Linked DNA regions of Schizosaccharomyces pombe. The protein of the gene in region 2 purifies or fractionates together with the protein of the main gene of each other region. This does not show direct contact. Each region holds a gene or a part of one and is shown on either strand. Other genes may lie near its edges.

Region 1 (6,087 bases), on a different chromosome or scaffold from region 2:
TCTGCTTTTTTCTGGACTTCCTCGTTCTGCTTTTGAATGGACAAAATCTTTCCAGCAAACACCTCAGCACTCAACGGCGGCAAGCTAGCAACCTTTCTCTTCAGATTATAATGATGCCAGTCAGACTTCCAATGTATTTTCTGTGATTCTGCATTATTGAAAGCCACAGTACAAGTCGTGCAAGCAAAAGAAGTCGACATTTCGGTATTCTGTCAAGTAATTCAATTCTTAGCCAGTACACTTTTTTATCGAAAAAAAAATTGATATTGAAGCCGAGTCTTTCCTCAAATATATTCTTTGACTCAAACTAACTTAATGAGATGAAGTCAACCCTTTTTTACAATACCTTGCACAAAAAGGTGTTGGTTGAATCCAACTTGCCTACGATCAACTATTGCCTACATAACTTGTAGCACCACCAAATTATTTTAAAGTGTCAAATAATTATCAATTTTATTGAAATCAAATAAAATTAATTGATATGTTAAACATCTTAATGTCTTGTTTTTTTAAACTTAATTTATGCATCCCTCAAAAACATTTTCTATTGCTTAGTAACATAAGGCGTACCTTTTGATTAACCAGTAAGTCCTAAGAAAACTCATATATAGACAAAGGGCTGGAAAGAAAGAAATGGCATGCATTGTAGTTTTAGCGAGCACACGAGCTCCCACTCTTCAGGGTTTAATTAAAATTGAGTATTTGAAATTGAGGTATTTTTGAGTTAGTTTCGTTGGAATAATCATATAGGAAATACATAATAGAGTTTAATGTCTTTTCCTTTTGTTTAATAAGTTTCCTTGCCTCAATAAGAAAGTTAGCACATGTGCTTTCTTATCTCTTTTCCCTCGGGGTTTAATTAGTGTTAAAATTTCGTTTTATGATAAATGGTCAGCTGTTTCTTTTAAACCTTTCACTAAATGACTCAGTGTTCCAGGATCTCTAGCACGATTGGGATACCAATCCTCAAACAGATTATTCCATAATTCCTTCTCCTCAGTATCTTCGGGTGAAAAAAAGTAAGAAGGGTTTCCAGATGATTTCTCTTTAAATTTCATTGACCATGCTTTAAAAGTTTCAATTTGTTCCATGATTTCTTCTTCATTCATCAATTTCAAGTCATCGTCACTAAAATTTATATCCCAATTATTTGCCTTTGATCCAAGAAACAATGTAAGCATCGTAATTGTAATCTGCTTATAGTTAGCATTTTACTCCACTAAATGTGATTGAAATCAACAGTCATAAAAGATAGATAGACAGCAACATTAGAGACTTACGAAAACTTTGCTTAAAAAGGAGTTTCCATTTTTTTGCTTCGCAACCTTAGCTGCTTTTAAAAATATATTTGTAAAAATACAGTTTCTATCTCTCATATCAGAAAGCAGAAGAAGAAATAAAACTTTCAAAGAAGAATAACAGACGATAGGACCGACTTCAAGACTACAAATTTCGCATAATTTTTCTGACAGTTTAATGTTCCAATCATTGACGTCTCGCAGACAGACCATTTCCTTTGCAAAGCATCCAAACTTATTTAAAGCTAAAACCAAGTTTTGCGTTTCACTTGTAAAGTTAGCAATCTAATAACAAAAAGAAAAATCCTTACTCATTGCCATTCAACTGATTTTTTTTGTTTATTTTTTTTCTTTGAATGTATGCATTGAGTTGCTCGTGTAAACTTTCTGCTAAATCATTATATACATTGTCAATGGCAAATAATATATCTTCCTGTACAACTTTGTTGACCGCCAATCGGTGGAAGAATCTGCTGCACAAAATCATCAGGAAGTTAACGGTAGTTGAATTAAATATATCCAGTATTTCTTTATACAACTTTGAAAAGTCCTTATGAAATTCTCTCTTATAAAGAAGCTCGTCAGGAATTTGCTCTACGCATTTTATAAAAAAGTATGATGAAACACAAGATTCTCTGTATTTCTGTAATAGTAATGGAAGGTTTCGTAACATTGCTTGCTGTTGGTTTACGACCTCATCTTCAAGTCTTTTACCTGGCTTCTTCGACTAGAGGTTTAGTAATATGAAGCTTTAAATAACTTACTCTTTTGCTAATATGTGTTGCAAAATAATGGAGATAGATAGAAGAAAATTCTATCACTGCGTTGCTCGGTATACAGGGGTTTAAGACACTGTTAGTATCTTTTGCATCAAAGCGATCATAAAGCAAGAGCTTTGCAACATCCTCCCAACTGGCAAGTAATTGTGAGTTTGTATGAATGGAATGCATGCTTTCCTCAATTAATTGCTGCCTATGATTATTCATATCATATTCTCGTATGAAATCCGCATCATAAAAGTTATTCTCCTGCGACTGATATACAAATTTGTCATCGTCTTTCACACGCGAAAAGATGTGATCGCTGCTATCACGGAACCAAGATTCAAATCCTTGCTCAAGTATGAATAATAACGCATTCATTTTGAATAGGCTTTCAAAGCTGGAAACTAACAATGGGATTTTTTCACGCCTTAAGAGCTTTGATAAGCTGATTGTTGCAGTCTTTGCTTCACAATAATTTGCGTAGCGTTCATTAGTATGGGCAACGAGGATTCGCATTGTCGAGATTCGATTCTGGGGCTTCCCGTCAAATATGCAGCTAGAAACAATATTGATACATTTTCCATTCAACGATATTTTCTCCATCAGTTTCTCGCATGTCTTGAGGGCAACAGATCGAACAGAATCAATATCGTACCGACATATCTCCACAATTCTTAACGAGAATCTGTCAAGAAAATCAACCACAAAATCTTGATCTTTTTCAGGTTCATGAGAAGAAAGATAATCTATTATTTTTAAGGAGATTTTTCGGATTTGTGATTCCTATACGTTCAGTTAGTATTTAAATGATACAGCAGTAGCGATTGTTTATACACTTACTGCATCAGATAACCCCCAGCCAGAATGTCTAATCAAATTTCTGTTTATAAGATAGGTGGGAAGCAATTGGCAACAATCATATAGAGCAGTAACACACACTATACGAATGCTTGCACGTATATCATGAATCCTTGAGAATAGTACACTAGTAAAAAGGTTAGAGTCGTTAAGAAAAGTAGTATTGCCAACCTATCACAAATGTCGTGAATCATGTCAATGAACCTAGATGTTAAGTCTCTCAGTACCAGAATTTCCGCAGTTTGATTTGATTTTTCGGAAAGTTTGTTTACTATAAGGCATAAGCATCGCATGATATCACAGCAAATAGTTGTTGCAGTATGTCTAACAAGCATCCAAGGACTTGTCGTCATGGTAAAAATCCAAGCTTTTGTAGTTTCCATGAATGAGTCTCCGAGGAATGCGTCTTCCACGTAAACTTTACTGATGAATTCGACCAAAAAAAGCTGAAAACGAATACGCACCGTTTTAGCTTCTTTAGAGTTAGAAGTATAAAGATAATCAGTATAAGCGCAAGAAGACTAGCGATATGTATGGTAAGTAAATATTACAAAAAGATGATGCACACACCTTTTGAAAACTTGAACGATTGACCTGAGACAATGTTTCAGGAATTGAATCTACGTCCTGTACATCAAAGTTCGTAACGAAGGGTTGACAACCAGAGGCCTATGAATTAGTTTACGTTTCAAAGGAAGAGTAAACAAAACAGCAAAAGCTAGAAAACGTCGCGGATCATTCCTGCTAAACTTACAACTAATGCGAAATTTATAAAGGTCAGCATGAAGTCAGCGCTATTACTTTTATAGTCTTCAAAATAATGTTGAGAAAGTTGCTCGAGCGGCATATCTATATCCAACAGTTTGACTTTTCGTATGCTTGTTAGAATATATTATCGAAGACTTTTTTTCTCTTATAAGCAAGCAAACTTACGAAAAAATTCTTGTGGAAAGGCATAATCATGAGAATTTACGTGCATCTCTTCATTCGTCTCTATTTCATTATTTTCTTCATTCTCCGTCAAAGAAAATTCATCTTGTGTTCCCCATTTCCGCTTTTTTTCTGAGGGCGAGGCACAAATGCTGACATTCTGTAAACTTGGACCTTCATATTCAACATTTTCAAGCTCCACGCTTTCTAATTCAGTAAGGACTTCATTGAGATGACTGCTTGCATCTGATTCAAATTCGAATCTCATTGAAATCACTCAATTAATTGGTACGATGGTGGTTGGTTATGGCAAAGATTAATCTAACAGAAACGATGGGTTTGTTTACGTGACACGAGTCGCGTCAGTCAGTCATTAATTATTTTGCAGTTCACATACAACCATTGCAATCAAGTATATAATAATTTATTAAAGTTTTACTTTTGAAACATAAAGTAACTAATTTATGAATAAGAACGCGTTTTTACTCGGAATTTCGGGCTTTTCCCTGACCCCTTTTGAGAACCCACCAACTCCTTTTTCTCATTAGTAGTAGCTCGGTATTCCTTTGCAAAGTCCTACTCCAACTTTTGGTTAATACTCTTGTTCGTTGGTTTCATTTGAGATTTTTAGTTCTTGTACTGTTGTAGTACTAATCTTTCTGGTCAATCCAAAAGATTACTTTCCTCGAATCCTTCGTTCAATAGTATCTTCATATATTTGGGTGTAGAGTCATTTTTTCGAATTTTTAGAAGTCGAAAAGCATCTAAATTTTTAAGGATCTTTTCCAAAGAGAAGACTAGGGTTCCTACCTGAGTAAAAGGCAGTTTGAAAACCGACTTTCATCGCATGTCCAAAACTTTCTAAACAAGTGTGTGCTGGTTTACTAATGGACGTTTCGACTCAAACAAGACACGCAACATATTTTCAAGATGAGAATCAGCTACAAAAGGATCACATTTATGTGAAGAAGAAAAGTCACATCAAGTTAAATACGGGTGTTCGTGCACCTTTCAAGGCAGTAGATAACATCAATCAACAAGATGAACCAACATTGATTGAAGGGAATAATGAATCCTCCATCTCTTCGTCCACTGGCGACACTTTTGAAGAGGATTTTGCATACCAGGACAAAGTCGAGATAGAGGAACGGTCAATTCGCTCCACTCCTAAGTCTATTGGAGATGATGATTTGGAAAACCGTGAGGGCAGCTTTGACGCACCTGAAGGAATTCTTACACACGGGAAGCATAGACTACCAACAATTCCCGAGTGGACCAAGGAAGATTTAGCCGCCCTGTCTGAAGCTGCTGCTCGATTACAAGCTAACCCATCGCCTGAGGATATAGAAACTGATCCATCCATGGTACCAGACTATGATCCTGAGATATTTCACTACATGCAATCTTTGGAAAGGAAGCTGGCTCCACCTCCTAATTACATGTCAGTTCAGCAAGAGATTGACTGGGTTACAAGACATATGCTTGTTGATTGGATTGTGCAAGTTCAAATACATTTTCGTTTACTTCCTGAGACATTATTTTTGGCGGTAAACCTTATCGACCGGTTTCTTTCCATAAAAGTCGTATCTTTGCAAAAAGTCCAGTTGGTAGGTTTATCAGCTTTGCTGATTGCCTGTAAGTATGAAGAGATACACCCTCCAAGCATCTACAACTTTGCGCATGTTGTCCAAGGGATCTTCACCGTTGACGAAATCATTAGAGCCGAGCGCTATATGCTGATGCTTTTGGATTTTGACATTAGTTGGCCAGGGCCCATGTCGTTTTTGCGTCGTATAAGTCGAGCTGATTCTTACGATCACGACATTCGCATGCTCGCCAAATATCTTCAAGAAGTAACCTTGATGGATGAAATTTTTATAGGTGCCCATATTAGCTTCATTGCTGCTACTGCCTACTACTTGTCTATGCAGATGTTGGGTCATTTGGATTGGACTCCTTGCCATGTATATTATAGTGGGTACACGGCTCGTCAATTGAAACCGTGTGCCATAATCATTATGGAATGTTTGGTCGATGCCCCTAACCATCACAATGCCATTTACCGAAAGTACTCGGAGAATAGAATGAAGCGAGTTAGCGCCTTTGCTCACAACTGGGTACTAAGTGTGATTTGAGTTTGCTTTCAGAAGTTGTTAACAATGATATTCTGAGTTAGTTTGCTATTATTAAGCCTACGATATTTATTATTACGGATCATTGTCTTAATATTTCCTACA
Region 2 (4,337 bases):
TTTCAATGGAAATCGTTACTGAACAATTGCGTCTATTGGGCGCAACTGTTCATGCGTCTTTACAAATGACCGAGGAAAATCCCGTTTCTCACGCAGTACTCTACGACTGCTCACAAGAAACTCTCAAGAAAATTAGTTCTGCTCAAGTCCCAATCGTTTGTGTATCTCCTAAATGGGTTTTGGCTTGTTACTCATCTAAGTATTTAGTCGACGAGGAAATGTACTTAGTTGATCCTCAAGATATACTGCAAACTAAATGTTTACAGACTGATGACTCGGAGTTGCTGAATCCTCTTGATCCTTTCACTGACACGCAAATGATTCAGGACCCTTCTGATGCCTTCTTTTTCGATACTCAAGCAGAAAATTTAGAACCATTCGTTAATGGGTCTCCTGATTCTCATTGTTTTAATGCCGACTCATTCTTGGATCAAACTTTGTCCGATGATTATGAGTTTGGTCTCATTACTTGCAGTGATTCTAATGAGTCATCTATGTCCAATGACGCTCAACGAGAAAATAATCCAGAAACCATTTCTCAAATATCGCTATCTCCAACGGCTGATCTATTTTCGTCTTTCAAAATTACGACGGATTTAGAGATGACTCATTTAGAGTCTGCCAAAAAGAAGTATCTAGCTTACAAACCGTTAATTGGCTCTCCACTAAAAAAGAAGGTTAGTCTTATAGATTTCTAAGTGCCTTGTCTTTCTATTTCATTACTCTCTTTCATTTACAAGTTTAATTCCGCACTGCTCATTGTACATATTGTTAGATCAGTGTTTTGCGTGTTTTTCCCCTTTCTTTTATCCTGCCCATTGTCAGTTTATTTTATTTTATTTTATTCTATTCGCTCAGTCGTCACAATCCTGACCCAAATTATTTATAATCTCAATGGAGAATTAGTCAACTCTTATTTAGAACAGAAAAATGCCTTGCATTTTTCGCTTTTCTTATGTAAAGAACTACAATATTAAATTTCCGAAAAAGGTTTTCTTATTGTTTTAAAATGTTCTTTCATTTTATTTTTTCGCACTCCAATATTCGGTTGGAGGTCTTTTTCGCTTCAACTGGAAAGACAGTGTATCTTACAGCTTTTATTTTCGTCTGAGAACCCGAATTTTCTCTATCTTTTTAGATCATTCGTTTACTGGGGCTCAAATATTATTAGATTTTGTATATAGATTACAAGGAAGAGTCTGTTATAAAGGACACATTTTATTAGCCTTTTATTCTTAGTGTTAATAAACCATACCTTACATTTTACATTTTTCAGTAAATGGTAATTGATAAAATAGAAACCAAGAAAAGCATCACGCTCCCATTCTAAAAATAGATATTGGATGTACGAATGTATGTAGGTATGTTTTATTTACATTCATCGTAAACTATCAATATTCGCAAATTCACTATCTATTATAATTTAATCGCATAGCGAATTTTTTTTGTATTATAATTTATTATCGTTATTTTGATAAAGCAATGCTAACTCTCGTTATGTTTACTTTAAGTTCTTTACTTCTACGTTACCTAACTTGCTCTACTTTTTCGAACCCCTACTTTTACCTCAACCACATCATTCAATTTCAATCTATAGTATATTGGAGAGAAAAAGCGAGTGCCTTTAGCCTTAAAAGCGTTATAATATTATTATGGCTTTGGACCTCCGGATTGGGAACAAGTATCGCATTGGTCGTAAAATTGGCAGTGGATCTTTCGGAGACATTTATCTTGGGACTAATGTCGTTTCTGGTGAAGAGGTCGCTATCAAGCTAGAATCAACTCGTGCTAAACACCCTCAATTGGAGTATGAATACAGAGTTTATCGCATTTTGTCAGGAGGGGTCGGAATCCCGTTTGTTCGTTGGTTCGGTGTAGAATGTGATTACAACGCTATGGTGATGGATTTATTGGGTCCTTCGTTGGAAGACTTGTTTAATTTTTGCAATCGAAAGTTTTCTTTGAAAACAGTTCTTCTCCTTGCGGACCAGCTCATTTCTCGAATTGAATTCATTCATTCAAAATCTTTTCTTCATCGTGATATTAAGCCTGATAACTTTTTAATGGGAATAGGTAAAAGAGGAAATCAAGTTAACATAATTGATTTCGGATTGGCTAAGAAGTATCGTGATCACAAAACTCACCTGCACATTCCTTATCGCGAGAACAAGAATCTTACAGGTACTGCACGCTATGCTAGCATCAATACTCATTTAGGTATTGAACAATCCCGCCGTGATGACCTCGAATCTTTAGGTTATGTGCTCGTCTACTTTTGTCGTGGTAGCCTGCCTTGGCAGGGATTGAAGGCTACCACGAAAAAGCAAAAGTATGAAAAGATTATGGAGAAGAAGATCTCTACGCCTACAGAGGTCTTATGTCGGGGATTCCCTCAGGAGTTCTCAATTTATCTCAATTACACGAGATCTTTACGTTTCGATGACAAACCTGATTACGCCTACCTTCGCAAGCTTTTCCGAGATCTTTTTTGTCGGCAATCTTATGAGTTTGACTATATGTTTGATTGGACCTTGAAGAGAAAGGTATGAGATATCTTGGTAATAGTGCTTTTTTTATTTTCTGGGTTTCCGAGTTATTGAAAACCAATGTAATATGATATTTTATGAAGTTTACATAGTCACATTTACTAACATTTAAATTGTAGACTCAACAAGACCAACAACATCAGCAGCAATTACAGCAACAACTGTCTGCAACTCCTCAAGCTATTAATCCGCCGCCAGAGAGGTCTTCATTTAGAAATTATCAAAAACAAAACTTTGATGAAAAAGGCGGAGACATTAATACAACCGTTCCTGTTATAAATGATCCATCTGCAACCGGAGCTCAATATATCAACAGACCTAATTGATTAGCCTTTCATATTATTATTATATAGCATGGGCACATTATTTTTATATTTTCTTCTCATCTGGAGTCTTCCAATACTTGCCTTTTATCCTCCAGACGTCCTTTAATTTTGTTGATAGCGCAGGGCTTTTTCCTTGGGATGGCGAAAGTTACTTTGCTTATAGTTTATTGAGGGTTCATAGCTTATTTGGCTGAAGATCTTGTGTTGACTTAAATTCTATGCTAACCTCATGATCATATCCTCATTATGGCAAGTTTTGGTGAAAAATTTTTTAATATTAGTACATTTGCTAATAATACATTTGGTATTTGTTTTTACTACCTGTGAATCTATTCATACATTATCATATATGTTTCGAGCCAGGAACAGAAAAAAGTGAGAGAATTTTCTGCAGAAATGATCATAATTTTATCTTCGCTTAACACGAATCCTGGTGACAGATTATGCGTGGTTTAAAGCCTTTTTTTTACGACGCCATAAGCAAATTGGTTACTTTTTTATGTGTGATGAGCCTTGGGGTTTAATCTAATTAGAAGGCATTGCATTCATATACTTTTAATAATATATTATCAGCTATTTGCTGCTTTTCTTTATAGATACCGTCTTTTCCAAGCTGAACTCATTTAATCAGCGTCGTTTAACCTTAGGATGCTTAAGATGCGTTTAAATTCAATGACTTAATGCTCGAGGGATGAATGGTTTGTTTTAGTTCGTGTTCTGGGTGCATGATCTCGTGCTTGACTGTTTTATTGAAGCGTTCATTTCATGAAGTGTCTTTCGATGTTGTTCACACTTCTGTTTGCTAAATATAATAAATATTTTGCTTTTCATTTTAGTTTGTAAACATACTTGAAAAAACTAGAAAGGTGTTGTTTGTAAGTTTTTGAATTATCAATAAGATGAATTTAGAATGATGACACCTACTTCAAAATCAACAAGCATAAATGAAATAGAAATAAATTGTCTTTACTTACTATCTATTTGGTGTAGTTCTCTTCTACAGCAAGTTTTCATAGTTCACTTCGTTTGGCAAGAAATCATTATCACCGCTATACTTCACCGCCAACCACTACGAACTATTATTGCCAGTTTCAATAACGATAAATTTAAGCAAGCATCAATTTTCATTAATTTCATCGATTATATATATTAATCGTTTTCTTTTTTAAAACCATTTCTCTCTGCTTCAACTCACATGACCTATTCATAATATACACTCACTTGACCAGAGTTTATCGAAATAAATACGAAACTTGTGCACCAGGGGCTAGGAACGAATATTTTTGTTAGGTTCTTTCTTCTATCTTTTATTCAAGTAAGCTGCTATGGACAGAAAGGCGAATGCCTATTCTAAAAGCGTTGAGTTGTTATCGAGGCTTGAGGGTTGTCCCTCAGAAAAAGTTCTGTTAGAAGAGTTACGAAAATTGAGGGGGTTCATTCGAAATGATATTCCCAGTAATTTTTT

Evidence for each region.
Region 1: the proteins of hhp1 (region 2) and rec11 purify together in Schizosaccharomyces pombe (affinity purification with mass spectrometry; one study listed by BioGRID). This does not show direct contact.

Annotation. Positions count from the first base shown.
Region 1 is NC_003421.2:1,222,808-1,228,894, forward strand, and holds rec11 (meiotic cohesin complex STAG protein Rec11), read right to left. Parts: upstream 4,162-6,087; 5' UTR 4,119-4,161; coding exon 3,854-4,118; exon of another isoform or gene 3,788-3,853; coding exon 3,675-3,787; intron 3,660-3,674; exon of another isoform or gene 3,590-3,659; coding exon 3,491-3,589; exon of another isoform or gene 3,442-3,490; coding exon 3,092-3,441; intron 3,048-3,091; coding exon 2,903-3,047; exon of another isoform or gene 2,846-2,902; coding exon 2,063-2,845; exon of another isoform or gene 2,026-2,062; coding exon 1,610-2,025; intron 1,567-1,609; coding exon 1,281-1,566; intron 1,194-1,280; coding exon 879-1,193; 3' UTR 501-878; downstream 1-500. Other genes in the region: rei1 (ribosome biogenesis protein), read right to left, coding at 1-200; G1/S-specific B-type cyclin Cig1, read left to right, coding at 4,738-5,985.
Region 2 is NC_003423.3:1,854,124-1,858,460, reverse strand, and holds hhp1 (serine/threonine protein kinase (CK1 family) Hhp1), read left to right. Parts: upstream 1-1,550; 5' UTR 1,551-1,652; coding exon 1,653-2,543; intron 2,544-2,665; coding exon 2,666-2,872; 3' UTR 2,873-3,788; downstream 3,789-4,337. Other genes in the region: mug176 (BRCT domain protein), read left to right, coding at 1-698; lvs1 (beige protein 1), read left to right, coding at 4,198-4,337. UniProt on the Schizosaccharomyces pombe protein: Involved in DNA repair. Has a probable role in repairing alkylated DNA and may regulate the activity of protein(s) involved in double strand break repair caused by gamma rays.